2 linked regions of the Oreochromis niloticus genome follow. The protein of the gene in region 2 interacts with the protein of the main gene of each other region in a biochemical or structural test. Links are inferred from orthologs where the notes say so. Each region holds a gene or a part of one and is shown on either strand. Other genes may lie near its edges.

Region 1 (15,963 bases), on a different chromosome or scaffold from region 2:
AGACACAAACTAAAGCGTATGAATGACTACAGCTATGATGTTTTTAAAATAATTACAGGGGTATTTATTAAGGGTTTTTGGACGTAACTGAATTTTATTTCTGTAATTAATACACAAATTCTTCCCCCTCTCCTGACATTTGTCACATTCCTGACAAACTGGCATGTTGTTTTCAGACCATCTCTAAAACATCTAGTTGTCATTTGAAATGTGTCTACTGACAAGACCCATAGGCCATGTGACATCCTCAACGCTGTAAAAGCACACGTCATAACCACTATAGGAAAATGAGCTAAGAACGAAAACAATTGAAATTGTGAAGATGCTCTCCATTTGTTTTTGTATTGGTGAACATTTGAATAAATAATTTTTATAATCATTCGACTTTTTTGGTTTTGCATTAAATCACAACCATTAATTTCAGTTCATGTCCTAAAATATGGAGCTGGATTTAGGGTTAAAGGTTTTTTTCTGTTCCCTGTTTCTTTGTGAGCAGACAAATAACCAGATTTTCAACAGCTGGGCTAACACAGACAACCATTCACACTTATGGGCAATTTAGAGTTTCCAATTAACTTATCCCCACTAATTGCATGTCTTTAGACTGTGGGAGGAAGCCAGAGAACTCACGCAAACACGAGGACAACATGCAAACTCTATACAGAAAGATCCCAGCCTGATGGAGTTGAACTCAGGACCTTTTTGCTGTGAAGCAACAGTGCTAACCACTGTGCTGCCTGTATCAGAATTCAACTAACTCTTAAATTGGCAGAATGAAAAATAAATAGGGCCTTAAAGTTTCAAACTAAAACGCAAGAAACTTAAAAAAGCAATGAGTTTGTAACAAGTCCCCTAATTTAGAAAAAATTCCCTCCAGATAAACAGTCTGAGTTCTAAGTTTTCTGAATATTAAACCAATGTTTAGGGTTCTTGGCATTCATACGTTGATATACAGTCAAACCTATCTCCAGTTGGCTTCATTACAATCTCTCCATTTGAAAAAAACAAAAAGAACAAAAAAGGCGAGAGTAACCGACGAGATTTACCTTGAATTCATCCAATATTAATAATTGCTGCTTTTTTGGGAGAATAAATGTTATTTCTTGTTAGTGGAACAATTTAATTAGACTGACAAAAAGGCATTGAGATCAAAACTTCCAGATCTTTATTGATACGATGGGAGCTAAACAAGAGCCAGTAAAAACCCTTTAACTGGAAGAGAATCAGCACATAAAGTCACCGCTGGCCGGTGTAGAGACAGATGAAGCATATGCGTTTCCCCTTCAGTCAGTCACATCCAGTGAGCAGCCGGAGATAAAGCGGCATGGATACTGAAGACACCGGGCTCTTAAAGCAAGAGGTAAAATGAAAGGCCACAGCTTGAAAACAGCTTTTCTTGTTTTAGAGTTATTTAATCAAATGGGGGTACGTTAAAATAAAAACTATAAGTGATGTTTAACTTGTAATTTAACCATCCTTGTGTCCGTGTCTGGTTAAAAAGACTGCGTTTTCAGTTACCTTCTTCTGAGACAAACCTCTCTTGAACAAACTGGGATGTTGCCAATAAAAATAGTAACACCAGTTCATGGTTGCAATGTGAAAGTTAACATCTGTTGGACTGGGTGACTGAGGCCAGGTCTGTCCATGTTTCCTTTTCTTCTTTCCTCCTTTGATGCTTTTCTCCCCACCAGCTTTCCAAAGAGGACCGACTCTTAGTCCTCTGCTTTGGCCTCCATCTCCTCAGCGTCGTCGTCTCCATCCACCTCGGCGTTCTCGCGCTCTAACCTCTCCAGCTGCCGGGCGAGCTCTGTCTCATCCGTGTCCGTCACCACCTTAGGCTGCAGGACAAAGTTTACAGTTTAAGCATAATGATCCTTTGGCCAGATGAGCTAAAAACAAACATGATCATGACAAAAAAAAAAAGTGAAATCATTCACCTCCATCTGGATGTTAAAGACACCCCTCTTCTCTTCAATCTTCTCCTTGATAGCAGCCATGGCCTGGTTGAGGACAGAGAGGCCCTCTGTGCGCTCCAGGGTGGTCGTCGTCATCACGTAGCGAGGGGGAGCGATCAGGTTGATCTGCAAAAGGTAAACGCCATGAGAGAGAAATCCAAGTAGAGACTACAGCTAGAGACTCATTAAGGTAAATAAGAGTTTTTACTTCTTAATGGAAGAGAGAAAGATTACCTTGATGGGCATGGCCTCTGTGGAGCAGCCCAGCCCAGCCCTCAGAGCTTCTTTCACGGCGTCGATCCCCTCGTAACCATAGCACGCCACTTCAATGTCTGCACGAGGTAGAGGAGGTTATCTTCACATTTCTAATTTATTCCTAAGTCCAACTGAGAAACACTGTGAGTAAACAGTCACCTGCTCTGATCTTGACAGCCTGTGGAGTGAGTCGCCTGTTGATGTTATCAATCAACACATTCCTCTCCTCCTCTGTTAAATCCAGCCCATCCAAAATAGCTGGATCTCTGCAGAAAGCCATCAAAATGTAAATGTGTGCACACACTGAACAACCTGTGTTTCATTTTAATAAGAAGTGCTGAAATGAGAACTTACGATACAGCCTGTTTGAAGACATCATAAGCGCCGTATCCTGGCCGCTTGTATTTCTCATCGAAGACCCATGCGGTGCGCTGGTACAAGCTCTCTAGCTGCTCGTCCTTAGTGTACTCCAACACCTCTGCCACGTGTCGCAGGATGCTGTAAACCTGCAAACAATTTAAAAATCAGCTCAGCCCAAACAATATTGTAAAAACAAACAAGATAGCTGTTTACAGTTTCTTACAAATACAGATCTAACTTGTCTCACAATATTATAATGAACGCCTGAACCAAACAACCACTACCTTTGACCACAACAAGGCTCAAAGGCAAGTTCCATCGACTTAACTGTACACAAGACAAGGAAGACATCTACGAGCTGGACAACTTGCACCAAAATGACCGAGACAGATAAAAAGCATTTGACCAACTTACAGTTTTAGATTTGGTGAATTTATCCTCACACTTGATGGCCTCCTCTGGTGAAACTCTTCTTTTTGATAAATCAATGTATCCTGAGGAGAAAACAGAAGGAATGCAAAAAAAGCTGTTTTAGTGCAGCAAGTAGTTTCTTACAATTAAGAATGATACGATTAACTAACAGGGAGGGATTTGATGGCCACTTGCTGGTCTAAGTTTCAAAATGAGCTCGTCTTTATTTCCTCATTACCAGCTGTACATGGATCACAGGTCAAAACTGCACAACTATCTATCTATATAAAGAAAATAGTCACGTAATATGAGTCAAATGAGCTGTATATTTTACGATAAGCAGAAAATGTCCAGTTCAGTAGCTCAGTTCAAAGTGGTCATGCTTAATTCATGTTAGTTTTCTTTTTCTTTTTTCTTTTTGAATGTATGAAATATGTAATATCTAAATAGGTACATTTAGATTTGTGCATAGAGGTATTCTGCTATTCTAAATTACATTTTTGTAACTACTGTTTTTTCAACTTGATGCCAGCGTGGTGGTTATTATAAACTCAAAAATCATCATCTTCATTCATCTTATAATGAGCCTCAGTTCCTCAGTTCACCCACTCTCTCAAACAAGCTGTTTAAGGCAAACTTTCATCTGACTGGGCTGTCCCTGGAAAAGAGAAGTTTTGAACAGCAGGTGGGTGGAGCTGCAGTTCCCACAGAACTGTTGAACAGATAAAGATATCACCTCTTAGTGACATCATACAGAGCCGAAAGCACAAGAAGGGTCTGAAATGGTGCATTAAAAAGCAGCCTGAGCTTCAGGAATTACCCATACATATGGTGACCTCATTAGAGCAGGTCCCCGTTAATTATTCCAAATTAGATATTCTGTGTGTCATGTGAGACTGTCCTGATATTAAACTGGTGAATGCTATAACTTAATGTAAGTTATTGATCATATTACTAACCACAGTCCACCTGACGTCACAGAATAACACTTCAATTCAAAAAAAGGAAATGTGGACCACACAAAAAGATCTCATTTCATATGGTTTTTATTCCACCAGCACTTTGGCACTGCAGATCCGACACGCCACCAGTTTCAACTATATTAGTCTACACTCACCCTTCTCTTTGTCTACTCGGATGACGACCACGCACTCGTTGCGGCCTATGCGGATGAGCTTGTTGATGGAGCGGATACGTCGACGCGACAGCTCGCTCAGGAGGATCATGCCCTCAATGTTGTTGTACTCCAAAAGGCTGACGTAGGCGCCCATCTCAGCGATGGACCTCACGTTCACCATCACGACATCCTCCACCTCTGGGAACCGGTGCTGGTAAAATCGACAGCTGAGCCCCGGCATTGCTGTGAGGTCAGAAACAGTTAAGAAGACAGGGGGAGGTTAACGTCTGCAAGTCATGGCACAAATCTTCACTTTGCAGTTTTAAACACTGTGAAAAGTACTGCTCGCCCTGTAACTTGGTGTTTCAGTACTAATAAATACAATTTTTTTTCTAGTTAATAAAAAATGGTCAATAACTTGTAACTAGCATCTCTGCCTCCACTGCTTCAGTTTTCACCAAAGGTTGTTTAAAAAGAAGTCCCACAACTAAACACAATCAAAGCTCAACATTAAATTAGCAGAGAACCATGTATAAATTATTTCATTCTGGTTTTCTTTGTCTTTTTTAATCTCAATTATAGTAATTTGTGAATAATCTGTCACACCATCCCTCTGACAATCCTCCTTTTAGATGTAGTGAAAGAGACATGCAGAGCATGTGACAGAGCAGATGCTAGAAACAGAATGAGAGGGTCTAGTGTGGTGACCCCTAAAGGGAGCAGGACCCATGATCCATTCATGCTTGTGCACGGTCTATTACGTGTTAATTACTTAATGGTTGTGAATCAGTGTTTTATATGTGGGGTCAGCCACAAATTATAGAGGCATTATTATTCTCTCACTAATAAAATACAAACTATGCTGTGAAAAAGTAGTCAGAAATACACAAGAGGACTCAAAAATACAGAACAATCATAATAGTTGTGGGCTGCATCCACACAATGTCTAATTACACGTCAGGTTACAACATAGGCTTTCAACACAGAAGCACAAATCCCCTGTTACCAGGGCACATCACCATGTTAACTTCTAGATTAGCTTGTATGAAATCACTGCCTAATGACCAAACAAACTCTCCTTGAAACAGCGTCATCATTCCATTCAAGATCTCCTGGACTGGTATGCAGCAGCTGTGCTGCTTTCAGCCTGTATTATGTGTATGACCACTTCATATTCTTCTAATATCATAGTTTTCTCCTCTGTAAAATCAACGTCCCTGTTGGCAGTAGGCTTATCCAGGTTTATGACTGATTGGATGCAGCCAATGCCAACTCTCTTATGTAAGCGCACTTGTAGCTAGATTGAGATGACAAATATGGGGACAGACTTACTATTCCCCAAATCTTTTGCTTTCAACATCCTGTTGTCCCTGTAACCTGAGGACAGCAGCCTACCCCCTGGAGTGTTTGACCCTTAGATCCTATCACCTTTGTTTTCCCATTCTTTGATCTCAACACTCCTGATTTAAGACTCTAGATATTGTATCTTGTGCCTCTGTTTAACATTTACATATAAATCATCCTCTAGTGATAGTCGTCTCCTCCCTTCCTCTTGTGTAAACCACTACGAATGCCATGCCTCTTTGGTGGGTCAGAGTCGGCTCATCTTCCAGGACCCACTATCTGGGCTGGTATATGGCTAGTCCATTTCTTTGAGAGTTGATAAACTGTGTGTTAACTTATTGTGATGATAACCACCTTGATGTGATATCATGGGTATGCAGGCCACAGACAGGCAACTGGGACACAATGTCAGCAACCACAAGTACTCTGAGTTTGAAAAATGCTGCAGTCAGCCAATTAACATCAATCCCTTTCTACATCAGAGTATTTTAACTATACACTGCAGTGCCTGTTCATGAAGTATATTCAGCTACCAGTAAAGACATCCGTTTATGGAAGAACACTGTAATGAAAAGTATCATTTTTTCTATTTTACTCAGATTTTAAAATATTAGTTGCGGTCATTTTTAGAGGCTTTAACCTGTAAAAAGACTTTGGCCATAAAGATGTTTTCTTTCTAATCCTTAGTCTACTATCAAGAAAGGTGTGGACAAAATAGTAGAGAGATACCTTTAATATTAAACGAAAAGTCCCAGTCCGTTTGAATGGAGCCACTTATCTGTGTTTCTATGTTTTCCCACTGAACAAAAGTCAAAGCCCAGGTTTAGCTTATATACAAATATCCAGGACATAAAATAAAAGCAGGGAAATGAAACAAACTTCTGCCATTTGTCTTTTTCCCCTGTTGCTGTGAATGGACTGATGTAACGCATCATCATCGCAGAAAAATCACTTACTGTTTAAAATAGAGAATCGGCGACAAAATATGGACACAAAAAGCTGCTTACCAAATATTTAGTACGTGTTACCAGCGACTGTATGACTTCCTAGTTATCACATTTAAAACCACGAGAAGAATGTTCATTCAAGCGCAGAAACGCTTTCTTTCAACATCAGTTAGCTTCCCAGCTAATAACCCGGTGCCCAGCTCACATGCGGCACACGCAGGCTAAGCTGTTAGCCGGCTATCTGCCAGTTCCGATCGTTCCCCAGTCCCCGCCAAACGACATCTTCATAAAACAAACTCACCTGTGTCATAAGGTTACAGAACGACGCGCCTGAATGTTCCGTGCTGACTTTGTTTAAATGTCAGATTCGGTTTTCTTTCTGGTGTTTTGTTTTTTTTAATGAGTAACTCAGGCCCGCTAGCTCACATTCATGGGTGTGCTAATTTGTCGACCCGGAAAAGATCGTAGGGACCTTCCACACGCGCGCATGTGCGGAACGAGATTGGTTCTTTGGTCACATGACGCGGAGGGCCAGCTGATCATCGCCGACAAGATCACGACCGTCAACTCGATCTGCTCTTCTAATCCTACACGAAGAGCGAGATTTTAGCTGTTATATGTCTAGATTAATAATTCAGGATTCAAGCTAAAGTTGTAGTGTTGATTTAGGGAAGCGGGAGTGAACTGAAAATCGCAGTAATCGACAAAAAACGGAAAGATGTCTGGAAAAGACAGGATCGACATATTCCCCTCCAGAATGTAAGCAGCTTGTGCGATGGCTAGTTGCTAAAGCAATGTAGCTTCCTTAAAGCTCATATACCACTGTTTTGTTGACATATTTGCTTTTATATATGAAAGTTGTGGATAATTTTCTGCATGCATTTGAAAAGCAGGGATCGCCGTTTTGTTTTGTGCCAAGGTTACCGTTTAAAAGAGGAAGAATCCTTCTGCTGTCATGTGATATTTCTCACATTATCCAAGTGTGAGCTGTCAGTCGGAGCGACTTCATTTTAACCTAATTTCACCTGCATCCAGTTATATTAGATTTACGACCACTGAAACAGTATAACACAGAGGTTTGACCCTTTCATCAGCTCCTGGGTGCAAATATCAGTGAGCTGTGTATGTAGAGGAGTGGTGCAGATTGTGTTGATCCTTACCTTGTTTTAAAAATAACGCTATTACACAAATTACAGCATGTAACACCTTCTGTCCGTAGACTCTTGGTTCAGATAAGATCTCCTCCCGAAAAAAAATTCTGAAAATTCTGAAAATTTCTAAAATTCTGAAATGGTAAAAAACAGAAGAAATCTCAGGAAAATCAATGGGATCTCTCTTCCAGGATGGGAAGGGATTCAGCATAGAGCAACGTAGTAAATTTATATTAGAGACGATCAGGATGACATCGTTAACAATCTAACATGTAACAATCTGTGAGTAATGTGACACAAAAGTGGGCTTGAATGTTGATGGCTGTATGTTTTCGGCTGCTCCCTTATTCACAAAGAGGGCTCCACAGAGGATGGATCCCCATATTTATCTGGTCTTAATCCAGGGATCTCTAACCTTTACACTATGGAGCCATGTTAAATTCCAGCGCAGGCCTAAGGCAGCCTTATTGCATATGAGTCACCTGCTCAAGTCTGGAAAGAGCTGGGGAAAGATTGTGATTTGGAAATTTTTATTTAGCCTTTATTTAAATTGAAAGTTATCAGTCATGATAATTTAAATGAAAAGTCAATGAGCAGTCAATAACAAGTGAGTTACAACTACTTAGCTATTTAGCAGATAAAATTCAACTTGTCAGGAGCTCATTGTAAGGTCTCCCACCAGAACTACAACACATGGACTTATGCATTAGCTAGATGAAAGAGAAGAACAGATACTACTACTTATTCATTTTTTAAGGTAAGCCAGCAAATGGCCAGTTGAATTAGAACCCAGGCCTCCACACTATAGCCCTATAATATACAGGTTTGCCTGCTAAAACCAGTGAACCACACTGGTGCTCCAGAACAAACTACTACTCTTGACAATTAGCATTTAGTAGCCTGATAGAAGAGGGAACAGAGGAGTTTCAGTAGTGGTTTTTTTGTCTTCATGGGTGCATGATAGCCCTGCCCTGAGGGCATTGAAATAAACTCACTAGAGAGAATGTGGCCACCTTGACTAATAAGACCCTTTTCTTTCTGAACTACACATTTCTTTGGACTTGGTACTCTTGGAGTATACGTCTTTAATAATGTTTTTAAGGCTGTTCCTGTCCTTCAGAGATGACCCATTGAACCAGTATATGACATAAAATGATGAAATGTGGAAAATTAGAAGCAAATCCATTAAAAAAAAAAAAAAAGAGCTTTAACAAGCATAGAGGTCGAGAGAGAAAAGAGGAAAATCTGAAATGCCGGTTAAAAAAAAAAAAACTGGGGTGAGGGTATCAACTACCAGGGAAGAGAGACAGAGACCTTGGGATGGCCTAAGGTCTGAGTGAAAACATGACAAGGAGATGAAATGAATGAAACTTGGTTGTGTCATTTTACCCCTAATTTAACTGTCTGATTCAAATAGAGTGTTAAAAATATGTGGGTTTCTCTGGATTTGCAGGGCTCAGACCATCATGAAGGCTCGGCTGAAGGGAGCACAGACCGGCCGCAACCTGCTCAAGAAGAAGTCCGATGCCCTCTCCATGCGCTTCCGTCAGATCCTTCGCAAAATTATTGAAGTCAGTTTAACATGAGCCTTCATTTTTGGTCCTAATACAGTCTGAAAGAACAGATGATGCGATAAATACTTTATTCATACATCATGCATTTTGGTTGGAGGCTGTAGCTCATGATAATGGTCAATTAATCTGATACTAAGAGGTGTTTCTATAGTAATTAATTGGGTACCTTCATTGTTATGAACCAACAAATTACAGCCAGTCTGAATCAAAACCTCATGAAATAAAATCTTCATGAAGGCTTTCAGCTGCGTGTTTCCCAAAGGTGTGTTTATACTTTTAGACTAAAACCAAGATGGGAGAGGTGATGAGGGAGGCTGCCTTCTCATTGGCTGAAGCTAAATTTGCTGCAGGAGACTTCAGGTAAGAATGAGAATAACGTGTCAGCGACGTGATGTTGTGTTCTGGTGCAGAAACACAAACAACTTCCATCTGTTGTTTTTGTCTACAGCACAACTGTAATCCAGAATGTTAACAAAGCCCAGGTGAAGGTCAGAGCCAAGAAAGACAATGTGGCAGGTTAGCATCAAAAATATCTTCTCATTTTTAATCATTTTTTGTTTTGTTTTGTTTAAAATATCTGCTGCTTTTCTTCTTTTAGGTGTCACCCTTCCAGTATTCGAACACTACCAAGAAGGCGGAGACAGTAAGTCCAGTTACATGTCTGAGTTTGGTGTAACTCTACATTGGGTTTGAAGGGAATCGCAGAGAGCGCTCTTCCTCACCCCACGATGTGTTTGTGTCTGTCAGGTTATGAGCTCACCGGTTTGGCGAGAGGAGGAGAGCAGCTCTCGAGGTTGAAGAGGAACTATGCCAGAGCTGTGGAGCTGCTTGTGGAGTTGGCCTCCTTACAGGTAGGAGGCGCTGTTACATATTAAAAGCATGCTTTATAGTTAGGGTGATGGTATTATCATTGAAAAAAGCACAATGTAACGTCACTCAATGAAACTAAAATTGTATTGATGATCTCACATGTAACTGTGCATAATGTGAGTGTATAATCAAAGGCTCACATCCTAAATGACCAAAACAACTCATGAAGACAAAGGGGTAGCGTCTCCCGCTATGGTTTGTGTATTCCTGCTGTGTGGCATATCACTATAACATTTCCACAAAGGATACATTCATTACACTGAGTTTGTGTGGATTACAGATGCAGATGAAATGTAATCTATACTCTAGAAAAGCTGAAGTTTAAGTGTTAAAAATTGCTCAATTTTGGTTTGCAGACATCTTTTGTCACTCTGGATGAAGCCATAAAGATCACCAACCGCCGTGTGAACGCCATCGAGCACGGTAAACACACTTAACATTCAACTGCAGCCTTTTAAATAAAATAAGGGTTGGTGCAGCTAAAATAATTTTGAATCCGCTTTGCAGTGATTATTCCCAGGATTGATCGCACCCTCACCTACATCATCACAGAGCTGGATGAGAGGGAGCGAGAGGAGTTTTACAGGTGACGATGTTTTCTGTCTGCCTTGTGAAGGTTTTAGTGCATAAACCTATAAAAAACTTATCAGGAGGCATCTTTTGCATGTTTATTAGATATTCTTGTTCCAGCTGGCTGTCCACAGCTCCGAATTCATTCTGTCACTACCCCAGCAACTTAAGTCCAAAACCAGACTGCGCAATCCTCAATTTTTGGTTATAACACAGAATGTTCTCTGCTCTCTGCTTTGCCAGACTGAAGAAGATCCAAGAGAAGAAGAAGCAGCTAAGGGAAAAGACGGAGTTGGAAATAGCCGCCCGTTTAGCTGCTCTGGGACCCATCGCTGAGCCCGCCAACATGCTGACAGAGGAGGCGGATGAAGATCTGCTGTTTGAGTGAGGAGCATTATAGGCCACCGACTTCACTAATCCTTTTATTTATTCTGTGCCTTTCTGGCCAAGTCTGCGTCTCTTTACGTCAGCGATGAAAGTTGTTTCTTTTTTTTGTGTCCACGTCGTGATGATTTGTTCTGAGTGTTTCCAGATGTGTACAGGGATCAAAGTGCTGTTCGGTATAATACACAAGTGAGACCAAAGCAGTCTCTAAAAAATTAAGCAAATATTACAATGAGTATGTTTACACATGGTGTGCAAGTGATGATAAAGAAGCGTCCCGTGTGACTGATCACCTTGTAGATATTCAAGTTTTATCATATATAGAGGCATTGCATGCTGTACAGCTTAAAGTGGTTGTGGATTTCAGAGGGTGCGAGTGTGCGCCGTGGAGACCCGTCCCGCTGCTCACTTCATATCGTGCGGTTCCTGTTACCTCACTGGAGGCTGTTTACCATTTCACCAGAAGCCCCAATGTGACCCTGTTGTAAAATGTGATGTGCAAGTCAAAACAGCCCAACACTTCATCCAAATAAAGATGTTCTAAATATTCAACCACTGATTGAATTTCTTTTTTTTCCCCCCCACTGAAGGGAAAACATTTTAAGTTCCATATGTAAAGACAATTGGGGAAGACTGCTAAGAGACGGCTTCAAACCTTTAATCAAGTGCAAATTATACTGTGTTTAAGCAACTCTATAGATAAGGAATGATGGCAATTTGGGACCAGAATGCTAAATGTATTTAAAATGCATTTTAAAAAATTAAAAGTTATCTTTTTTCAAAGGAAATCCATTTCAGAGGTGTTCTCACTATTGGATACACCCCATTTAAGTGAGAGGAGAAACTGAATAAGGAACTTTAGTTAGTTACCCAGTGGCTCTGGGCAAGAGTGGCACCACAGTAGATTTAGACACATTAACACTCTGCGTCGAAAAATGTTTTTAACTGCAATCTAAACTTATGAAAGAAAAAAAATCTAGCATGCTGATAAGTCTTTTGCCAGTTTGGTCAGATTTGTTTTGAAAACGTGCCTGATGGCTTTGATGGACATGGTTATTGCTTCCTGTCCTTAGCTGCAGCCGGTTTGATCCTCTATATTGAACCTGCTTCAAGGTTCAATATATTGTGCATTTGGAGATGCTCTTCTGCATATCTTGGCCCTGACAAGTAGCTAGTGGTTTAGACCAGCGGTCCCCAACCCCAGGGCCACAGACCAGTAACAGGTATCGGGCCACGAGAGTTGAGGCTCGTGTGTGAAATTTATGGTTTTCAGGGTTTTTATTGTTAACTCTGTTTCCCTGGGTCTTTTCCCATGTGTTAGGATCTTCTTTTTTTGGTACTGTTACTGGTTTTATTTTGTTGTATTTATCCGTGACACCAAAGGCTGGTCCGTGAAAATACTGTCGGACATAAACCGGTACGTGGCGCAAAAAGGTTGGGGACCGCTGGTTTAGACTATTCATTCAAACCAGGTACAAATGTATCTAACAAGGTGGCTGCTCAATATATATTTTCTGAACTTCTGAACAATCTTGTCCTGACAAATACCCAAATATAACCATATAAAAAATAAAACTAACACTGAAAACAAAAACTAAAAACCAAACCTGGAATCTGAACTGAAATGAAAACTCAGAACTACAGAAAAGATAAAAAGAAAACCTTCTCTTTGATATAAAAGCCAGACAAAATATGTGACTTGTTCACATGTGTTTTATTTTATTAACAATTCATGAGCACAGAATTGTGCCTATGAATTTGCAAATGAACTGCAAAGAATCAATACAGTATTTGTTGGAATTGGAATCACACTAACTGATAACAGCTCTTATCAATACTGATAGAAAAACAAAAAAAATAAAACCAGAAACTCGGCAGTACTTAGCAGCATTACTGTTTGTAACGACAACCAGCTACAGTGGTTTGTTATCACAGCGTAAAATCATAAAATGAGACACAAAATAAAATACTGACAATGGAAGTACCTCCAAACTGTGCAGATTACAGCAGATCTCTCTCCTGTACTTCTGAGTGGAAGACGGTGCCCTGCAGCCACTTAAAGCACTGATCCTTCTCTTCTGTTTGGTACCTAAAGAGTTTCTGATCTGCTGTTTCATCAGGGAGCCAATTAAAAACCAACACATAAAGACTCTCACACACACAACACTTGATCCTTTGGTCTAGAAAATATGTATGTACAATTATAAATAACTATTAAGCATAGAATAGAAATGGTTCTATTTTGTTGATAAATGACTTTGCATAAAACTGAGATCAACAGAGAAACAAAAATCACCAACAGACACACACACCGACAACAAAATCAAAGATTAAAATTGAGTCCATCCCTGTAACGATCACCTCCTCTACAAACGAGGAAAATGTGCAAGTCAAATTCCAGTGACAGTTTACCAACCGTCCTTGGTTTGTTTTTCACTCTCCAGTCTTCTGTTTACCTCCTCCAAATCATGGTGCTGGGACACAGTGACCTCTAACACAGCCAGGACGTGGGCACCCACTGGGGCTCAGTGTCCAGTTTATCTATCAGCCTGCGCAGCTCGTGGAAAGCCTGGTCTGGATCCACGTTCAAGATGGTCGCATCAAAGTAGTGGCCGAAATTTTGCTCCATCTCGCGGGCCTTTTCAATGACCTCCTTCAGCATCTCCGGCTGTGCACAGGAGATGGACATCAGTTCAAGAAACTGCAGTAGTGACTCTTATTATTACAGGTCTTCATTCTCAATAGCAGTCTTCATGAACAGAGATAATGTTTATCTACTGATTTTTATATCTAAATTTGGATCCAATACATTTAAACAACGGTGTACACACATAAAAACGTGCCTGGGACTTTTCCACACATGTTAACTGCGATCTATAAGAATGTCTCATGTGTTGTTGTTTTTTTAGAGTAAGTCTGTTATGAAGTTCAAGTCAAAAATAGTGTGATAAAATTTAAAATAATTTTAAAAAAAGGCATTTTTTATTATGGAATCACCTTTTGTTCGTCATAAAAGAGTAAAACTGATTTGCCTTTCTCTTCAGGTGATGCTATAAATTCTTCTTTCTCTATAAGTTAACACATAAATGAAAAGGATGAGATCTTGTTTTTGTTTTTTGATCCATTTTTTATTTTTATTTGTATATCATTATCTTGGCCGGCACTACTTCAAAGACTGGTGCTGTGCTGACAGACTTTTGAAAAGCCGATGATGTGATGCTGTCATTTTATTTAGTAAAGTAAGTAAAATTTATTTATTAATTAAGTGCTTTTCACAGCCAAACAGTCACAAAGCGTTTGTGTGGGCTTGGTTGTTTCTGAAACCATTAAACCAAACACCTTTCCTTCTCTCTACTTCTTTACTTCTTTAGTCACAATTTTGTCTAAGAGTTTATGGTCTAAAGAGTCTTTTTCAACAAGCAAAATTACATGAATTATTAATTCATGACTAACGCTGGGTTCGGAAATTGGGCTAACACTGTATGCAATTTATAAACAGGACTATGTGTATGTACTGCTCTCCATGACTGATGAAACAATGCCCATTTTTGCCTTTGTGTTTACACACAATTTCACTTTTGTTTGGTTTGCGTGCATCTTACCTCTAGCTTTACTATCTCATGACGATTCTGTGAGTTAGAGACCAGATTTTTTGCAATATATGTGAGTAACTAATGGTCGTTCCCTGCTCTGCCTGAACTATGTTTTCTTTTCTGAGCTGGTCAGCGTTTACCTTTGGTGTTTTCCCCTCTGTGGCCAGCAGGGTGCGTAGTCGCTCCTGAGAAGGAGGCGCTATGAAGATCACATATGGCTTAAGGTTGGAGGATCTCAGGACTCGCAGTGACTGACAGAAGAAAAAAATCAAGGCACAAAGAAACAAAATGAATGGAAAGAGCAGCACAAGGAAAAAAAACACAGATTAAATATGGTGTCTTCAAATGTGTTATTTCAGCTTTGATCAGGCTTAAACAGGATTAAGATTTATGTTGAGGAAATGAAAAGGGGTCATTATGTTCTGGCAGGGCCACAGTGGTTAAGATCACAGATGAGGGAGGATCTAACGGGCTTTGTAATTAACATGTTAGTGTCTGGACAGTAACGAGGTCTCCTACCCTTGTGTGTAGGCAGAGCAGACAGATGCGTCCAGAGTTGATGACGTGTCGGACGGAGTCTGTGCTGGTGCCGTACAAGTTCTTCTCGTACTCCCCCGATTCGATGAACTTCCCCGTCGCCAAGTCGGCTTCAAAGGCAGAACGAGTTACAAAATGGTACTCGCGCCCATTCCGCTCATGTATCCTCGGGCTCCTGGTTGTGTCTGAGCCGTTAAGGAGGACAGATATAACTGTTTTACTCATTTTCTGAGCTTTACGTTGTCTAGATATATATTTTTTAATTTCTTTGTGTGACAAACAGTTGTGCATTATGTGATAAGTTAAATGGTTTCACTTCTTTACTGAACACCAGAAACACGTTCCGCTCCTCATCTGAGGTCTGTGATTAACATTTCACGTCGCCTCGCTCTGGGCTCTGTCGCTTTGACCAAGCGGAGACTTACGTGGAACAGCGACGGCAAACTTCTCGGGTTCGATGGAAAGAAGCCTCCGGCGCAGCTCATCGTGACCGCTGTTTGTTGGGCCGATCAGAGCTATGGGGCGTTTGCGGTTGGCAGGCTGGTGATAGAGCGACATCTCCTCATAGGTCAGGATGTCATCGTAGTCTGAGGAGACGGTGTGGGAGGGGTTATTGAAACATTCCTGAACTACATACCAATTACTTTGAGCTCTTGGGCTGACCTGTGACCTCTCTGTGGAGGATAGAAAGATGCATGGGATTAAGAGATCAATAAATTTACAGTGTTTGAGTCAAAAAAAATTTTCACAGTGCTTCATTTCTGACCCTCATGGCTCACAGTCTTGCCACTTTTAGCCATGGATCAGGTTCATTAGAACAGTATGTGTGCCACTTAGTGAATATTTGTGTTTCTATGTGTGAGCCAATCACAGCACAGGTTCCTCCAAGCCATTT
Region 2 (15,269 bases):
ACATGAAAATGTTAGTCTACTCCTAATGACTACACTAACTAGGTAGCTATGCATGTCGTGATTTGTGTTCAGCTTGTTTTTTCCCCCTCTGGTGCAAAAAAGAAAGGACACCTTCACATGGCTCACCCAAATGACAGTTATGGTTCAAGTGAATTTTACAATGTATGATAAGAAAACTATGTTATTTAACAACACTAAACTCTAGACTCAAAACTGCTCTTTAAATCTCGCAGATTGTTGCCCCTTGCAATCAAATAAAGCAGTATCAAATAGCATGTAGCTCGTGATGATAATCACTATGGAGGAGCAAAAACCTGCAGGTCACTACCCCTTGGGTGACAGACTGAGAACTGTTCAGCAGGGTGATATCAAACCAAACTGGACTCCCTGATTTATAAGAATGAAGATAAATCATGGTTGCATGTGATGAAGTTACTGCATGATATAATGGACAACATGAACAATAGCTCTACTGACAGTCCTACAACTCTGCATGCAACCTGCGCCTTAAAGAGCTACCCACGCGGCTGGCTATAACCCATGAGGGGTAGCTGGAAAAACCTGATCGAGGGCCAGCTGAGTATCTGTAAACCTATGCGGCAAGTCTGTTAAAATTAGCGTCACCATGAATCATTCAAACAGCTGTCTGTGCAGTCCACGTCGACACCTCACCCCAAGGGGAAGGGGAAGAGAGGGTATCTTGTAATAGACTGCACTTACTGCGCCCACCACCCCAGTAACCCCCACCGTAGCCATCTCGGTCTCGTCGCGGGCCCCGGGCATGCTCGACGATCACCCGCTCCCCACACAGCTCCTTCCCGTTTAGCTCGTAAACGGCGTCGTCGGCGTCCCTATTATCTTCGAACTCCACGAATCCATACCTGCAAAAAGAAAGGGTTTAAATGCATGAGTATGAAATACTAAAAACCACATGAAATTAGTTTAAGCAATGCGTTCCCGTTTACTTCCACGAATCAACTAGCTAATTAGCGTTAGCATACGTTAGCACAGCGACGTGCACAGTATAAGGACGCCATGTTGGCCACGCGACATTTGCTAAACGTGCATGAATGAAGTTAAAGAAACAAAACCTTTTAGATTTACAAGGACAATGCTAAATGTCAGACATCGACATATTGTCCTTTAGAATCAAACTTAACTTGTAAAAAAATATAAACACATATATATATATATATATCTGCGTAAGAGTGAAATGCCCCGCGAGTCCGTGCGTCGTTCGCATGAATGGCTAGCTTTAATGCTAGCTACGACATGCTAGTTGGACTCTCGCTTACAAAATTCCGCCGAAAACTTACCCGTTTTTTAAATCAATCTCCATTAGCTTCCCATAGCCGCTGAAAAAACGCTGAATATCTTTTTCGCGGACATGATAGCTTAGTCGTCCGATATAAACTCGAGGCATTGTGGTTCGCCTACAGTGGTTCTCGACTGTTCCTTTCCACTGCTCCGAAATTGCTGAATGCTACTACCGTTAGCTCTGCGCCAGCAACCGGTCGGCTGTTTCGCCAAATCCAGCCAATAAGCGTGAAGCTAACGATGATCAATTTCCGGAACAGAACTTCAAATTAAAAGCTACCGTTTATCACACAAAACCGCAGACAGTACGCACAGGAGAGGAAAATACTAGTTAAATCCTATGTAAAATCTACCCCAGTCATTTCCAACTAGAGGCATTTTGTAACTGTAGTTTGCATTGGGTACATACAGAGATCATCTTAACTAATTCAAAAAAGGAAAAAAAAAACAAAGAAAAAGAAAACACCTCCAGTCACAAAAACTAGGTAGTTAAAAAAACATACATCTAAACAGTAAATTGTTGGAATAGTAAAGTCTCTATTGCAATAAAGTTGACTTTAAAAATTCCCGTTAGCAGCCAATCACAGAACCAGCCTTCAGTTTATTCACTCCGTTGGTATTACCATTTCTGATGCATATGGCCCACAGCTGCGTGACGGATTATCTCTATCATTTATAATTTCTGTTTAAAGCCTCTGTGCTGGCCTTTCATGTGGTTACCCAGGTAGTCATAGTCCTCCACCACATCAGCAGTCTGTCCCAGAATACACACGGTTCGTGTCCTTCTGAAAGTCAGTCACCAACTTCTTTGGTCTTATTCACATTCAGAAGTGGATACTTCCTCAATGACCACTCCACAAATTCATTAACTTTTGCTCTGAATGCCTATTTCCTCCTCATCACTTAAACATCCAGCTGCTGCAGAATCAGAGTATTTCTTTAGGCGACATCACCTGGAGTTGCACTGATTGAAAGTCTGAGTTGTACAAAGTGAAGCAGAACTGAGACAGCATAGCCTCAATGGTTTGATAACTATTGGATAAATTGGCGAACTATATCTATAGCATCCATATTCTGACTCCAAATAGTATAAGTGCAAAGTTTGTGAATTTAACTTAAACATCCATGGTTTGGCTGTATAAAATTGTTGAAACACATTTATAATATGGCAAGTGGTGGAGATTAATGAGTACTTATCTGATAGGCTATGTGCTTAAGTCTGGCTGGTTATGACAGATTTATGTGACTTATAAATCAGTGATTGATGTGTTCGCCTGCATACTGGTAGTTTAAGCACAGCTAAAAAAACAACAACTATTATATAATGATATAGTGACATTTGGGCCTGCAGAGGAAACCTAACAATGGCACCCAGTTTCCATATTATCCTGCAGTCAGGTTCCAAATAAATCTGCAACTCGACATGTTATTACCGATCTCAAGGACATTGTCTCCAGTTACCATGGTTATCAGCTGCTCATGTTTTAACCTTGTGGGTCTGTGTTTGTATCATTACAGCAAACCGTGGGCCTCACAAGGACCGTCAATCACATCTGAGCAAGTCACACAAATAAGACTTAAATATTTTAATGGGACTCGAAAAAAATGGCCATATCTATAAACGGGTGAAGCGAGGGGGGCATAATGACGAGAGCCAAAGCCGTTCACTGATCATTACGACCTTTTTCCATTGCGACAGAGTGAAAACATCATAACGTCATTACCATGACTGACAATTACTAAACAGGCACTGTCATTAATGCAAGCAGAGAAAGTAGTGGAGAGAGAGAGTAGAATATTTTATTTTTGTAAAAACCAGGTTTTAAAATGATTCCAGCGAGACCTTTATATTCACATTCCTCTCAAAACAATTAAGATTGATACTTATTGATAGACTCTGGTGTAAATTTCTTTAACCACACTGCAAAATAGGAACCTGAAGGAGGAGACGATCTGAGGTGCCTGCTCAGAAGTTGTTTATTATTACTTTATTATTTTAGTGACTGGCGTTAGCTCATGAATCCTGCTCATCGGAGAGAGAAAAAAAAAGAGAAAAATTGAATCTTTATTTTCAAATTGACTTCATCAAACCTCAAGTGGCTGACAAAATTTTCTAATCAAATAAGTACACAAACTGCTCATCAGTGCCACAAAAGCACTCACAAACATACTGTATAATAATAATTTCTACTCGTCTCATAAACAGCCTCCTTTATTAGAGTACTCTTAATGTTGCTCTCCCCTTCATCAGCCCCCAAGTCTTCTGGTTTTGTGTCTCCTGCTACAAAATGATCAAAAGCAGGTCCTGTGTTAGGAGCCTCACACACTAGTTTCAGTGACATGTTCCTGTATGTACTCCAGCCCCGTGACTGATTTGTCTCTATAAGCTTGAGTAGAAAATCCTAGACTGACAGTTTTTTGTATTATCATTTAGGACAAGAGCAGAAACATGAACACACCCTTTAGTTGAGTTCAAGAAAAAAAACTATTCCTAGGCTCTGTTACTGTAGATGAACTTACCTTATCTACAATTTGGCTAATCTGAAGAAATATTAATGTCTGGTGCATGTAAAGTGGGAGAAAATAAACAAAAAGTAAACTTCAAGCTGTGTTAAATCAAGGTTTTTTTTGGAGGAATCAAGAATCACAGCAAATAGGAAACAGAAAAAAAACAAACAAACAAAAAAAAAAAACCCCTAAGAGCTGGAGGGTCCACCAACCAAACAAATCAAATGCTTTCAGCAGTGTATGTGTCAAACATCTGTTGTTTAACAGGTGCCTGAACCCTATCTGTCATCTTTAGACACTCTCACTCCCTGTCAGGTCAGGCCGTGACACAACCAAAATGACAGCCAAACCCTCCCGCAGTTCGATTCAGAGAGTCCTTTTAGCAGATCAAGCGGGCGCCCGACCCCAGCTTCGGCCCTTCTGATGGGGAAAGATCGGACCGTGAGAAGAGGTGGGGGGAGCCCAGTTTTAATGGCCTTTAGTTAGCTTTGGCGCGGAGCTGCGCCCTCTTGCCCGTCACAGCCTGGAAACCGGTCTTGATGCTGGCAACGGAGCAGCGGGAGTGGCACGTCTCACACTGCAGGAAATAGAGACGAGTGTCCTTCTGCAGGATGGTCTCCGGTGAGCGGCAGGTGTGACACGTCACATATTCCTCTGCAGGGGTGAGAACAGTCCACTCAACATTACTGTTCACAAGCAGGGACGGTTTAATTTTACCCCATCAATGTAACTTCACTGTAAAGAACATGTCATTCCTACTTACTGATATATCTTCTCAACACATTTTCTATCTGTTTCTGTTGAAATCTGCCTTTGATCACAAGCTGGTTATTTCCGTCAATGGAGCCGCTGTTAACAGAGAAAAACGCAAATTAAACTTTTACTTAAAGTGAACACACAAAAACAAAACGTGCCACAAACTTAGCTTGAGAACTGACACCACTTAAAATACAAAAAGCGTACCTCGTTCCCAGCTCAGCCAATAGAAAAGCGAGGAGATGTTTAGGCTGACGATGCAACCTGTGATTAATCGCATGAAAAAAACATAAAAATATCAGTTTGTGAATCACACATACTACAAGTGTCACTGAGATGCATCTGTCAGTAAATATAAAAAGCTACACGAGGCTCACAGTTTGCAGATGTCTGTGAAATTGACAAAGGAGGTTTTCTTGGTTCCCACTCGGACCACCTGGGGAGGCTTCATCACAAACTTCCTCTTCTCCCCAGCCACCATGTCGGGGTTCTTCTCCCTCATTATGTTGAAGACTCTGTTCAGGAGCTGGAACAGAGACAATACTGTGACTTTGTTTTTTTTGTCTATGTTCATAAAGTTTTCAATACAGAATATAAAAGGACAGAAGTTCAGAGCCCTCTGGGATCAGCTGAGAATAAAAAAAATAAATAAAAAGGTAAGCAGTGTGTAAATCTGTGCTGTTTATAAACCCTGTTCTCAAACTGGTAAATCCACCTTTATAATTTTACAAACCGTTTCACTCATTTCCTCATAGAACAATAAGTGGGGGATTTTAACAACTCTATTCAAAAAGTACATTTAATGCCGTTAAATATTCAGTGCAAAACTCAATACAACTTCAACATAAATGTAGATAAAAGCACTAAGTTAGTGGACACTGGCTCTATTCAGGCAGAAACTGTTTGCAAAGTAATTCCAGTTTAAAAAAATCTGTGGGGATGGGGCTCACAAAACCAAATGGGCTAAGGTCTTAACATCAGGACATTTATTAATGAGAGAGAGAAAAATACAACAGTCTATTATGTCTATGCGTACACAGCCTCACACAGTACAAAACAACCAAAAACAGTCTAATATTTATCCCACTTTACAGGAAATAACTTCACAAACAACTGTGACAGCTCTTTTTCTGCCTTTCCAGAATTGTTTCTAACTCTCTCATTTCACGTATCATCCTACCTCGTCGTAGGTGTAGTCTCTTTCCGAACCAGCCCAGGCTGGTCCTGTGGAAGAGCTGAAGGAGATCCCATCACCGTTCTTGCCATCATCATCATCCGGTGCTGGGAGAAAAAAAAGAAAAATTACATTATGGGTCAAAGATCCCTGTCCCTTGTTTCGGTTCCTAAGTTTCAAAACCATGCGATTTCATCGTACCGTCATCTTTCTCAGCGGTCTCACTATCATCGAAATCTACTTTTTTTGGCTTCTTCTTTTTGGTAAGGAAATTCACATCCAGGTTGTCCTCCTCCATAGCTTCCGTCTGCTCGCCTTCAATTTTCAGCTCCTGGTTTGGACAAGTGAAAAGTGAAACTCAGCATGTGAAAGTTATTGGTAAGCCAATCCAAATCAGTAGAAGCAAAAAGTTAAAAGTAATGCAAAATCAGAAAATGTTTATCAATGGCTGACCTTCAATCCCTCCTCGATATCATTTTCAAACACTTTCTTGGGTTTCTTCTTCTTTTTCTTCTGGTTGAAGAAGTTTAGGTCGTTCAAGTCATCCGACGTCTCTGGAAAAAAAACAAAAAACCCTTTGAGCTCTTAACTCTACACAACATAGTTGTGAACTGATACCGCACCTTAAATAGATCTAAAGTCTAACCTTTCTTCCTGCCTTCATCTTCATCTAGATCCACCTCTTTGTCATCTCCAGCCTCTGGTTCTGCCTCCTTTGTCTCCACCTCCTTAGCTTCTTCTCCTCCTGTCCCTTCTCCTCCGTCCTCCTCCAGCATGAAGGGCTTCTTCTTCTTCTTTTTCTTCTTAGTCATGTTGGGATCGAAAATCATCTGAAAAAGAGTGAATAAAAAAATAACATTAAAATAAATATTGAAATGCTGTCAAGCTTCATTTAGTACAGACACTTTATGGTTGCTTTAAATATACATAACGTTGACTGTTTCATCAGATTTTCCTTTTGAGTGGCTGTGGGAGTTAGTGTGAAAATTTTTTGCTTGTGAAATTTAGTTTTGTTTTCAGTTATGAAAACTGGACTGTGGAAAGACGCTATTTTTTCCATTATAGGCCAAAAGAAGTAACACGAAGTCATATCAAGGACTGAACAAAGAAAACAACAGATAACAAAATGCTGCATATCATCTTTACAGACAGAGGCTGGACTCTTGAGTTGATTCAGTGTACACTGAGTGACACACTGAGCGTGTCAGTACACTATTAAGAAAACTACCTACTGCTGTAGGTTTCTTAATAAAACGGCTTGAGGTAAAGCAACCCTCCAGAATTTTTAACTAACATATTGCACAGACTGCCCCCATTCAGTTAGAAAAATAATAATAAAAATAAAAATGTCGTACTATTAACATTAAGCAGCGGTGATTCTGGTATTTTGGTTTTATTTTACAGCCACAGGAGCCGTCCTTAAGGACAAACCGAGGTACAGAAAGCTTTTTGTCTCCAGCAGAAAACGTTAACAGTTAGCTCCGCAGCTCTGGTAACGGGAAGCTAAGGCTACATTGCTAGCTTCCACTCTTCTCTGAGAGTCCGGCGGAAGCTGCGACAGCTTGGATTGATGAGCCACGCTCAGAATAAATAACGTATATGCTCCGATAAATAGCTGTATATCAATATAATTGATGATTTTCTTGATATTCCGGCTGGCTCGGGCCGTGCTAGCCCGACTGCAGCAGCCATGTGAGCGCTACTGCGGACAGAAAGGGAGGGAGCAGCAGAGTCGAGGCCCAAAGTCATCCTCAGCACCGATGTGCGCCTGAAACTCAACGAATTCCGTCCAACAGTTCTTCACACCTACACAGATTAAACAGCGTCTGACTCGGAGTGCCTTACCTCGTCTCCTGACATGTTTGCGTGCTGAACAGTGAAATAAAAATGCCTCTTCTTTCTTCCTCGATCAGTCCCACACCGCTTCGCCCAAAATTTCTTGCATCAGCGTATGACTACAGTGCGCAAGCGTGAAGTCGCCAAATCCTGACGTGCTCGTGGTGACACCCCTTTCTGCGCTTGCGCATTGGCATTTTTTAGGGAACGTTCAAGATCGTGACTCAGAAATAATAAATTGGTGCTAAATATGCACGTTGTCGTTTTTATATAGTTCATTTTTTACAGTTATAATAGTAAAAAATTAAACCTTCATTTATCAACAACAAACTAGTCATTATAACATTACGATAGAAAATAATATTTAAGTAAAAAAAGGACTGAGAATATCAGCGAGAATAGTACCAGAAAAAAGGAAAGAAAATCAACTTGAATACAATTAAATAATACAGTAAAAATAAACTTACAAAACAAATTAAAAAAATTATAAACAGCATGCTCTACATTATCAGGCCATATTTCACTTTGTTGCAATCCTGACTAAGGAATTTTCATTTTCTGACGTGAACCTTTGAAAGTAAACAAATACCAAAATGAACACACCCATAAAGAATGTGGTCCAATGTTTCACTATGTGTTTGACAGAATAAACAGGAAATATTTAATGTTAAATTGCTGTCTTAGAAAATCATTGCAATTAAATATAATTTATCATTCTGAAGTGTGTTTCTTTTGCCTCTTAGGAAGGTTGGCAGGGATAGGTATCTGTTTCTAACCCTGCTAGTCTCAGGTAATCTTTCATCAGATTTTCTAGCCCTGCTAGTCTCAGGTAATCTTTCATCAGATTTTCTAACCCTGCTAGTCTCAGGTAATCTTTCATCAGATTTTCTAGCCCTGCTAGTCTCAGGTAATGTTTCATCAGATTTTCCTTTTGAGTGGCAGTGGGAGTTTGTTTGAACATTTTCTTCTTGTCAAATTTAGACAATTGATATAAAGCATAGGTAAATTTGGCTATAACACCTGCTATCAACGCTGTATAGCCCATTCTTTCTTTACAACCTGGAGCATATCTTTTAAAAGCATATCTTTTATTATGTATTTCCCCTTCTGATCTCATAATGATTGTCATAATGTCACAATGACTGTATACAGCCACTGATTATTATGTAAATATTTGCCGCTATGTAGCTAATGTGCTATATCCAGAATAATAGTTGTACTTTAAAGGAAAAATCATTGAGGTCTGATAAACAGGCACCATTTTTCAAGACTACAAAAGACCAGTGACACGGCAAATTGATTTTCTCTTTAGTTAAACTTTGTTGAATGAATACAAAACCTGGATATTTTAGGTTTTAGTGTCTTTGGAGTTAAAACCCCCCAAAAATGACCAGTTGCTTATCTCGTCTTTGTCTTTAAATCTCCTTTAAAAAGATTTTGTTAATATTTGTTTTTTGGTGTTTTTGTGATGCGAAAAGAAAAGAAAAAAGCTCCAGCTACACAACCCGTGCTTATCCTGGAACAAGATGCTGATGTGGTGGAGGACTACAGGTACCTGTGAGTCCACTTGAACAGCTGAAGAGAAGATCAACACAGATCTCAGTTTCCAAAGGAAGCTGAGATGCTCCAATATGTGAAGAGACATCATGGAGATGTTCATCACGTAGATGTGACGAGCACAGTGGACTTTGTTCTGCTGGGGGAGCTGGCGACACCAACAGAATGAGTAAACTGACCAGGAAGGCTGGCTCAGTGACTGGCCATCCTCTCCTATACTTACCCAACTGCCGCTCCCTCAAGAGACAGATACAGGAAATATTTCATGTTAAATTGGCGTCTTAGAAAATCATTGCAATCAAAAAATTTTTTTTATCATGTTGAAGTGTGTTTCTTTTGCCTTTTAGGAATGTTGGCAGGGATAGGTATCTGTTTCTAACCCTGCTAGTCTCAGGTAATCTTTCATCACATTACCTGAGACTGGCAGGGTTAGACAATATTTCATCAGATTTTTTTTAGCCCTGCTAGTCTCAGGTAATCTTTCATTACATTTTCTAGCCCTGCTAGTCTCAGGTAATCTTTCATCACATTTTCCTTTTGAGTGGCAGTGGGAGTTTGTTTGAACATTTTCTTCCTGTCAAATTTAGACAGTTGATATAAAGCATAGGTAAACTTGGCTATAACACCTGCTATCAATGCTGTATAGCCCATTCTTTCTTTACAACCTGGAGCATATCTTTTATTATGTATTTCCCCTTCTGATCTCATGACCTTCTGATCTCATAATGATTGTCATAATGTCACAATGACTGTATACAGCCGTTGATTATTATGTAAATATTTGCCGCTATGTAGCTAATGTGCTATATCCAGAATAATAGTTGTACTTTAAAGGAAAATCATTGAGGTCTGATAAACAGGCACCATTTTTCAAAACTACAAAAGACCAGTGACACGGCAAATTGATTTTCCCTTTAGTTAAACTTTGTTGAATGAATACAAAACCTGGATATTTTAGGTTTTAGTGTCTTTGGAACAGACCAGTTACTGTTCTCGTCTTTAAATCGCCTTTAAAAAGATTTTGTTAATATTTGTTTTTTGGTGTTTTTATGATGGAAAAAGAAAAGGAAAAAAACCTCCAGCTACACAACCCGTGCTTATCCTGGAACAAGATGCTGATGTGGTGGAGGACTACAGGTACCTGTGAGTCCACTTGAACGGCTGAAGAGAAGATCAACACAGATCTCAGTTTCCAAAGGAAGCTGAGATGCTCCAATATGTGATGCGACATCATGGAGATGTTCATCACGTAGATGTGACGAGCACAGTGGACTTTGTTCTGCTGGGGGAGCTGGCGACACCAACAGAATGAGTAAACTGACCAGGAAGGCTGGCTCAGTGACTGGCCATCCTCTCCTATACTTACCCAACTGCCGCTCCCTCAAGAGACAGATACAGGAAATATTTCATGCCACATCCCATCACAACATATCTGAATGGTAGTAAGGTATCTGCCAGAAAATAATAAATTATTATTGTTGATTTTGACTGCTAAAAAAAAGATTCTGTCATCATTGTCTTGTTTAAAGTACAAGACTGGAGTGATTTTAGAAATACTCTGTAACAAAGCTTTAGTTACCAATTTAATATTCAAGCTAAAAATGTACTCGCTGAGGTTTTTCTTCACTCACACTTTGTTTCTTTCTCTGGTGATCTGCTTAACTTAGTCATTTGACCAAAAACCAAAACCAAAACAAAACGCATGAACAGACAATGCTTCCACCACAATGAAAGAATTGAAAACCATTTAATGATTCGCAAATAATATTCTCATCTGGATAAATAAAACATAGAAATGCAAACATGCTTATCCATTTGTCCTCGTGTTACGTTTTCTATGTAAAAAATGTACATCATGTTGCTGAAAAACTAAAGGAATTCAACTCTTTTAAACTCTGAAATGCATGTGGTGTAGATTGGCTATAATCTAATCTTTTATAAACCACCATCTCCCTCTGGATGCAGTTAATAAGGTGTGACAACTGTTTAATATTACTAGTTTCTTTTTTTCCTTTTTCTTTTAAACATACATTTTGAAATGAAAACCTTTATGAGTGGGACAGACAGAGGAGGATGAAAGTGGTAGGTTATACATCTCTCTTACTAGCCGTGTGGTGTCACCTGTGTCGTGATTTCCCCACCGTTGCATGCTTCACGCAGCATCAACCGAAGCGCTCAATGGCAGCAATAATGCAGTGTACTTAAACAAAACAAACAAACAAACAAACAAACCCCCCCCCACCACACACACTCAGCTGGGATATTTACACCAAAGAACGAGAACCACTGATGGGGTTGGGAGGGTAAGGGGAGAGGCAAAGAAGGAGCGAGGGGGAGGAGGTCGAAGAACCCAACCTGAAATGAAAGAAGAGGTTTGGATTCTGGCAAACACACACAGCTCAAAGCTTCTTCAGCCAGCACACGCTCAGCTGAACCTTCATTTCCAGAGCAGTTAACAAGACGAGGGAGCAACGGGTTATTTTGTCAAGAAAATAAAAAAACAAAAAACAACAACACAAAAAAATGCCACAAATAGGTAAACGGGAGAAATCGGAAAGATTTTTTAAGCATTAATCATCCTTAAACACCCCCCCCCCCCCCCCTTATCATCCAGCGATGTTAACAATGCCAACAGCTTGGTAAATAACTCCATCTACTGCACCATCCAGCTCATAACACCACCCCGCGACATGAAATCTGTGGCCACCAGCATGGCACACAACAAGGACCACAAAGTGCTGCATTAAAATTGAGGGTAAAAATATTAGGTGACTTTGTCCAGTATAGCAGACCCTCACGGGCTCATTTGTACTGAGCACCTTGGGGGTCTCTAAAGGGGAAAAGGAAAAGAAAGACTACAGCATTGTTGCTTTTTTTGTTTTGTAGTGTTACACATAAAGTAGACAGTCCACTCTCCTCAGACACACAGAAACACTCAGACACAACATCCCATCAGTCCATTCGTTCCCCCCTTTTTCCTTTCCTCTCCGATGCAGGTGTGATGTGGCGGATGCTGCATTTACATGGCTTCCATCGCCCAGCGCTGCAGGTCCTCCATGTCGTCCTCGTCCTCCTCTTTCCTGGCTGTGGGAGGGAGGAGGAGGACAGAAATAAAAGATGTGATCTGAGGATCTCATCAAATCCTCATTCAGCATTAATCACTTCTAGGCAGTACTATTGTAATTCATTATTACAAAATACTGCTGCAAGAGCACTGACAGGGACTAGAAAGAGACAACACATTTCTCCCATACTGGCTTCTCTTCATTGGCTTCCTGATAAATCCAGGATTGAATTTAAAATCCTCTCCTCAGGTTCAAGGTCTTGTATAATAATTCCATTCGAGCACTTTACTCTCAGACACTACTTATATACTTTATACTTTTAATATTAGGCTTAAAACTTTCTTTTTGATAAAGCATATAGTTAGGGCTGGATAAGCTGACCATGTGACCTTTGGGGCAAGTGCCTGCTCATAAGGGATCGTCTGCTTGTTTTTTTTCCTTTATTATAACAGCATCTTTAGCTCAGGATAAAGGTAAAGATCCTATGAAATAAAGCTCCTTGAGGAAACCGCTGTTGTGATTTGGTGCTATATAACTAAAAATAAAACCATTGCAGCAGCATCACTGAAAGTTAGTAATTAACAGTTTGTATCTCCAGCGAACAACGTAAAAAATGCGATGCGAATGGTTACACACCAGGTCACCTAGCAACTCCTGAGAGCCAGCAGCAACACCTAAATCTTCTCTAAAGCAGGACAAAACAAACACACAAACCTGCAGTCGGGGTTGCTAAAGTGTTTCATGGCTTTTCTTGAAGAGTTCTTACCAGGTCTGGAAGGTAATGAGGTCGAAGGCACATTGGGGAGAGGAGCGGTCTCGGGTCCACCGATCTCCAGCAGATTTTTGTCCAGCTCTTCCTGTTCCAGCTCGTCCAGCTCGGCAAGCAGCTCATCCTGAGAAGCAAAGAAATTGACCCCAAGGATGAAGACCAGCACCAATGTATTCATACCAGCAAAAGCAAAAAGATATAAAAACTAATAACCAGACTCGGCTATACTGGGTTAACCCAATATCATTATCAGTGCAACATTCACACTCCAAACACGGGATAAAAGCAACTCTCTAAGATATGAGTAATGATATTTCTGAGTCAGGCGTATAAAAAGATGCTTATGTCATGTGCAGTAAAATCCCATCATCATCGTCTTTTGCATCTTTGCTTAGATAAGCAAAGATACAAAATACAGAACGATTTCACTGTGGCCAAGAGGATTCACGGTGGAACACAGCAGAATTTAGAAATGTGTTTAATGTGAATGAGAAAGGATTAGAATAGACACTGGAAACCAGTAACAACTAGACAGATGTAGGGCATAGACATAGTATAAACTAAGTATGGAGCATATGCATAAATGCACATTTAAATAACTGTACGTGTATGTGGTTGTGGGAGGCTGTGTGTTAAAGCCCAGTGTCTCTCTACACTCTCTCCGTTGTGTGGTTCAACTGCTTTGCATGCTCGTTAGTGTGCAGAGCCCTTCTCCTGATTGGTCCCTGGTTCTTCATTACTCTACCTTCTACATTTGCTGATGGACTGCTGCCCCAGTCCTGTGTTCCAAACAAGCTCCAGATTATTACAGAAGCTGGCTGGAAGGGGCTGCCAGTTTCATCTTTATATATATGCACCATGCATGACTACTCTGTGTACAGACAACAGATCTCAAGGTGGTACCAAAGGTTGAGGTTTTTTCTTTTAAATGTGGGTGTAGTTGTTTTTTGTCTCCTTTTGTGAAAAAAGACATCAAAAAACATTTTAAAAGAATCTATTAAAACCTTTTAGGTGCAACTCCACCTTCTCCATCTTGGTTAAAGCACACTTTAACGTGCCTACAAGCCAGGGTCGTAACAGTGTGTATCTGCAGTTATCAATATGTTGCTGTGGATGCAAGTACATATGAACCCTCCTGTACCATTTCGTTTTTTTGATTTAAGCTTAGAATGGAGTCTTTTTTCTTTAATCATCATTACCTGTTTTATTTTGCTATGCTCTCAATTTATTTTTGGTAATAAAATCTGTGAATAAAATGAGGCACTTGCACGTTTAGAATCACAAATATTTAATACTAACAGATGACAGATATACCACATAAATGTAAACAGAAAACACCTGAAGAGCTTCACCTACCTCATCAAACTCCTCTCCAAAGCCCACAGGTTTAGAGATGGCGTCAGAGATTTCCTGGGCCAGTTCCTGCTGCTCTGTAATGTCCTGCATCAGTTCATCCACTTTGTCAATGTCCCTGAAATAAGAAGGAAAGAGTGTGAGCAAAGAGAATTCACTCATATAAGTTTTATAAAAGAGGCTATTTAATCTAAATATGACGATTAGATGTGTGAGTAGTTCTACGGTAAAAACTAAGGAGGATGTCAGGCTTTTAATATACATGGCAGTGAAACCCACATACACTTTTTTATGGTTACATTTCAAAACATACAGATACTGACTGAAATAAATGCATAAAAGAAAGGATTACTGCATGTTGGTGAAATTATATGCATTTCATTATCAGCAAAGCTTCCTTGTAATATTTTTGATCATTTCAGAACTGACTGAATCTTCTTTACACTTGCTTTAGTCTCAGTAACAAAAAGGAAGTTGCAAATATAATCTGTGCAGAGAGGTTTTGTCCCAGTCCAATCGATCAGGCCTTGGTGCTCGCTCTTACATGTTTTCATGAGCAGACTTCATGGCCTTGGCAGCGAAGCCCATGTTTTTGAGCACTTCAGTGTTGGTGTTAGCGTTCTCCAGAGCCTCCCGCTGGAATTCGATGGTGGACAGCGTCCCATCGATCTGCTCGAGCTGCTTCTCGTACCGCTTCTTTCTTTTCAAGGCCTGAAGTGCCGCTGAGGATCCAAAGACAGGGAGTGGGGTGGGGGGTGGGGGGAGTCAGAATGAACAGATTGGCCTTGAAACACCATTTAGTGACAATGGAGAGAAACAGTGAATAATGGTACTTTAACACAGCAAATATTTGTGTTACTACCCAATCAGGCTGTCATTCCTGTTCGTCAGCTCTACTCTGTGAACATAGCTGATTTACTGCTGATTATTCGAC

Evidence for each region.
Region 1: the proteins of eif2s2 (region 2) and eif2s1b form a complex in vitro, tested with the Homo sapiens proteins (2 studies listed by BioGRID and IntAct). The link is inferred for Oreochromis niloticus from reciprocal best matches to the Homo sapiens genes EIF2S2 and EIF2S1.

Annotation. Positions count from the first base shown.
Region 1 is NC_031980.2:14,220,555-14,236,517, forward strand, and holds eif2s1b (eukaryotic translation initiation factor 2 subunit 1b), read right to left. Parts: upstream 6,851-15,963; 5' UTR 6,691-6,850; intron 6,581-6,690; exon of another isoform or gene 6,450-6,580; intron 4,342-6,449; 5' UTR 4,340-4,341; coding exon 4,099-4,339; intron 3,065-4,098; coding exon 2,985-3,064; intron 2,717-2,984; coding exon 2,565-2,716; intron 2,477-2,564; coding exon 2,370-2,476; intron 2,288-2,369; coding exon 2,190-2,287; intron 2,082-2,189; coding exon 1,938-2,081; intron 1,839-1,937; coding exon 1,713-1,838; 3' UTR 1,143-1,712; downstream 1-1,142. Other genes in the region: atp6v1d (V-type proton ATPase subunit D), read left to right, coding at 7,108-7,148, 8,994-9,111, 9,395-9,474, 9,563-9,630, 9,713-9,757, 9,862-9,965, 10,341-10,407, 10,492-10,570 and 1 more; pals1b (MAGUK p55 subfamily member 5b), read right to left, coding at 13,430-13,606, 14,672-14,782, 15,051-15,253, 15,494-15,655. UniProt on the Homo sapiens protein: Member of the eIF2 complex that functions in the early steps of protein synthesis by forming a ternary complex with GTP and initiator tRNA. This complex binds to a 40S ribosomal subunit, followed by mRNA binding to form a 43S pre-initiation complex (43S PIC).
Region 2 is NC_031984.2:24,620,634-24,635,902, reverse strand, and holds eif2s2 (eukaryotic translation initiation factor 2 subunit 2), read right to left. Parts: upstream 7,759-15,269; 5' UTR 7,616-7,758; coding exon 7,601-7,615; intron 6,586-7,600; coding exon 6,402-6,585; intron 6,310-6,401; coding exon 6,209-6,309; intron 6,087-6,208; coding exon 5,957-6,086; intron 5,863-5,956; coding exon 5,762-5,862; intron 5,108-5,761; coding exon 4,959-5,107; intron 4,846-4,958; coding exon 4,789-4,845; intron 4,675-4,788; coding exon 4,589-4,674; intron 4,480-4,588; coding exon 4,304-4,479; 3' UTR 3,096-4,303; downstream 1-3,095. Other genes in the region: serine/arginine-rich splicing factor 6, read right to left, coding at 721-881, 1,317-1,423; charged multivesicular body protein 4b, read right to left, coding at 12,168-12,232, 12,980-13,106, 14,339-14,453, 14,880-15,057.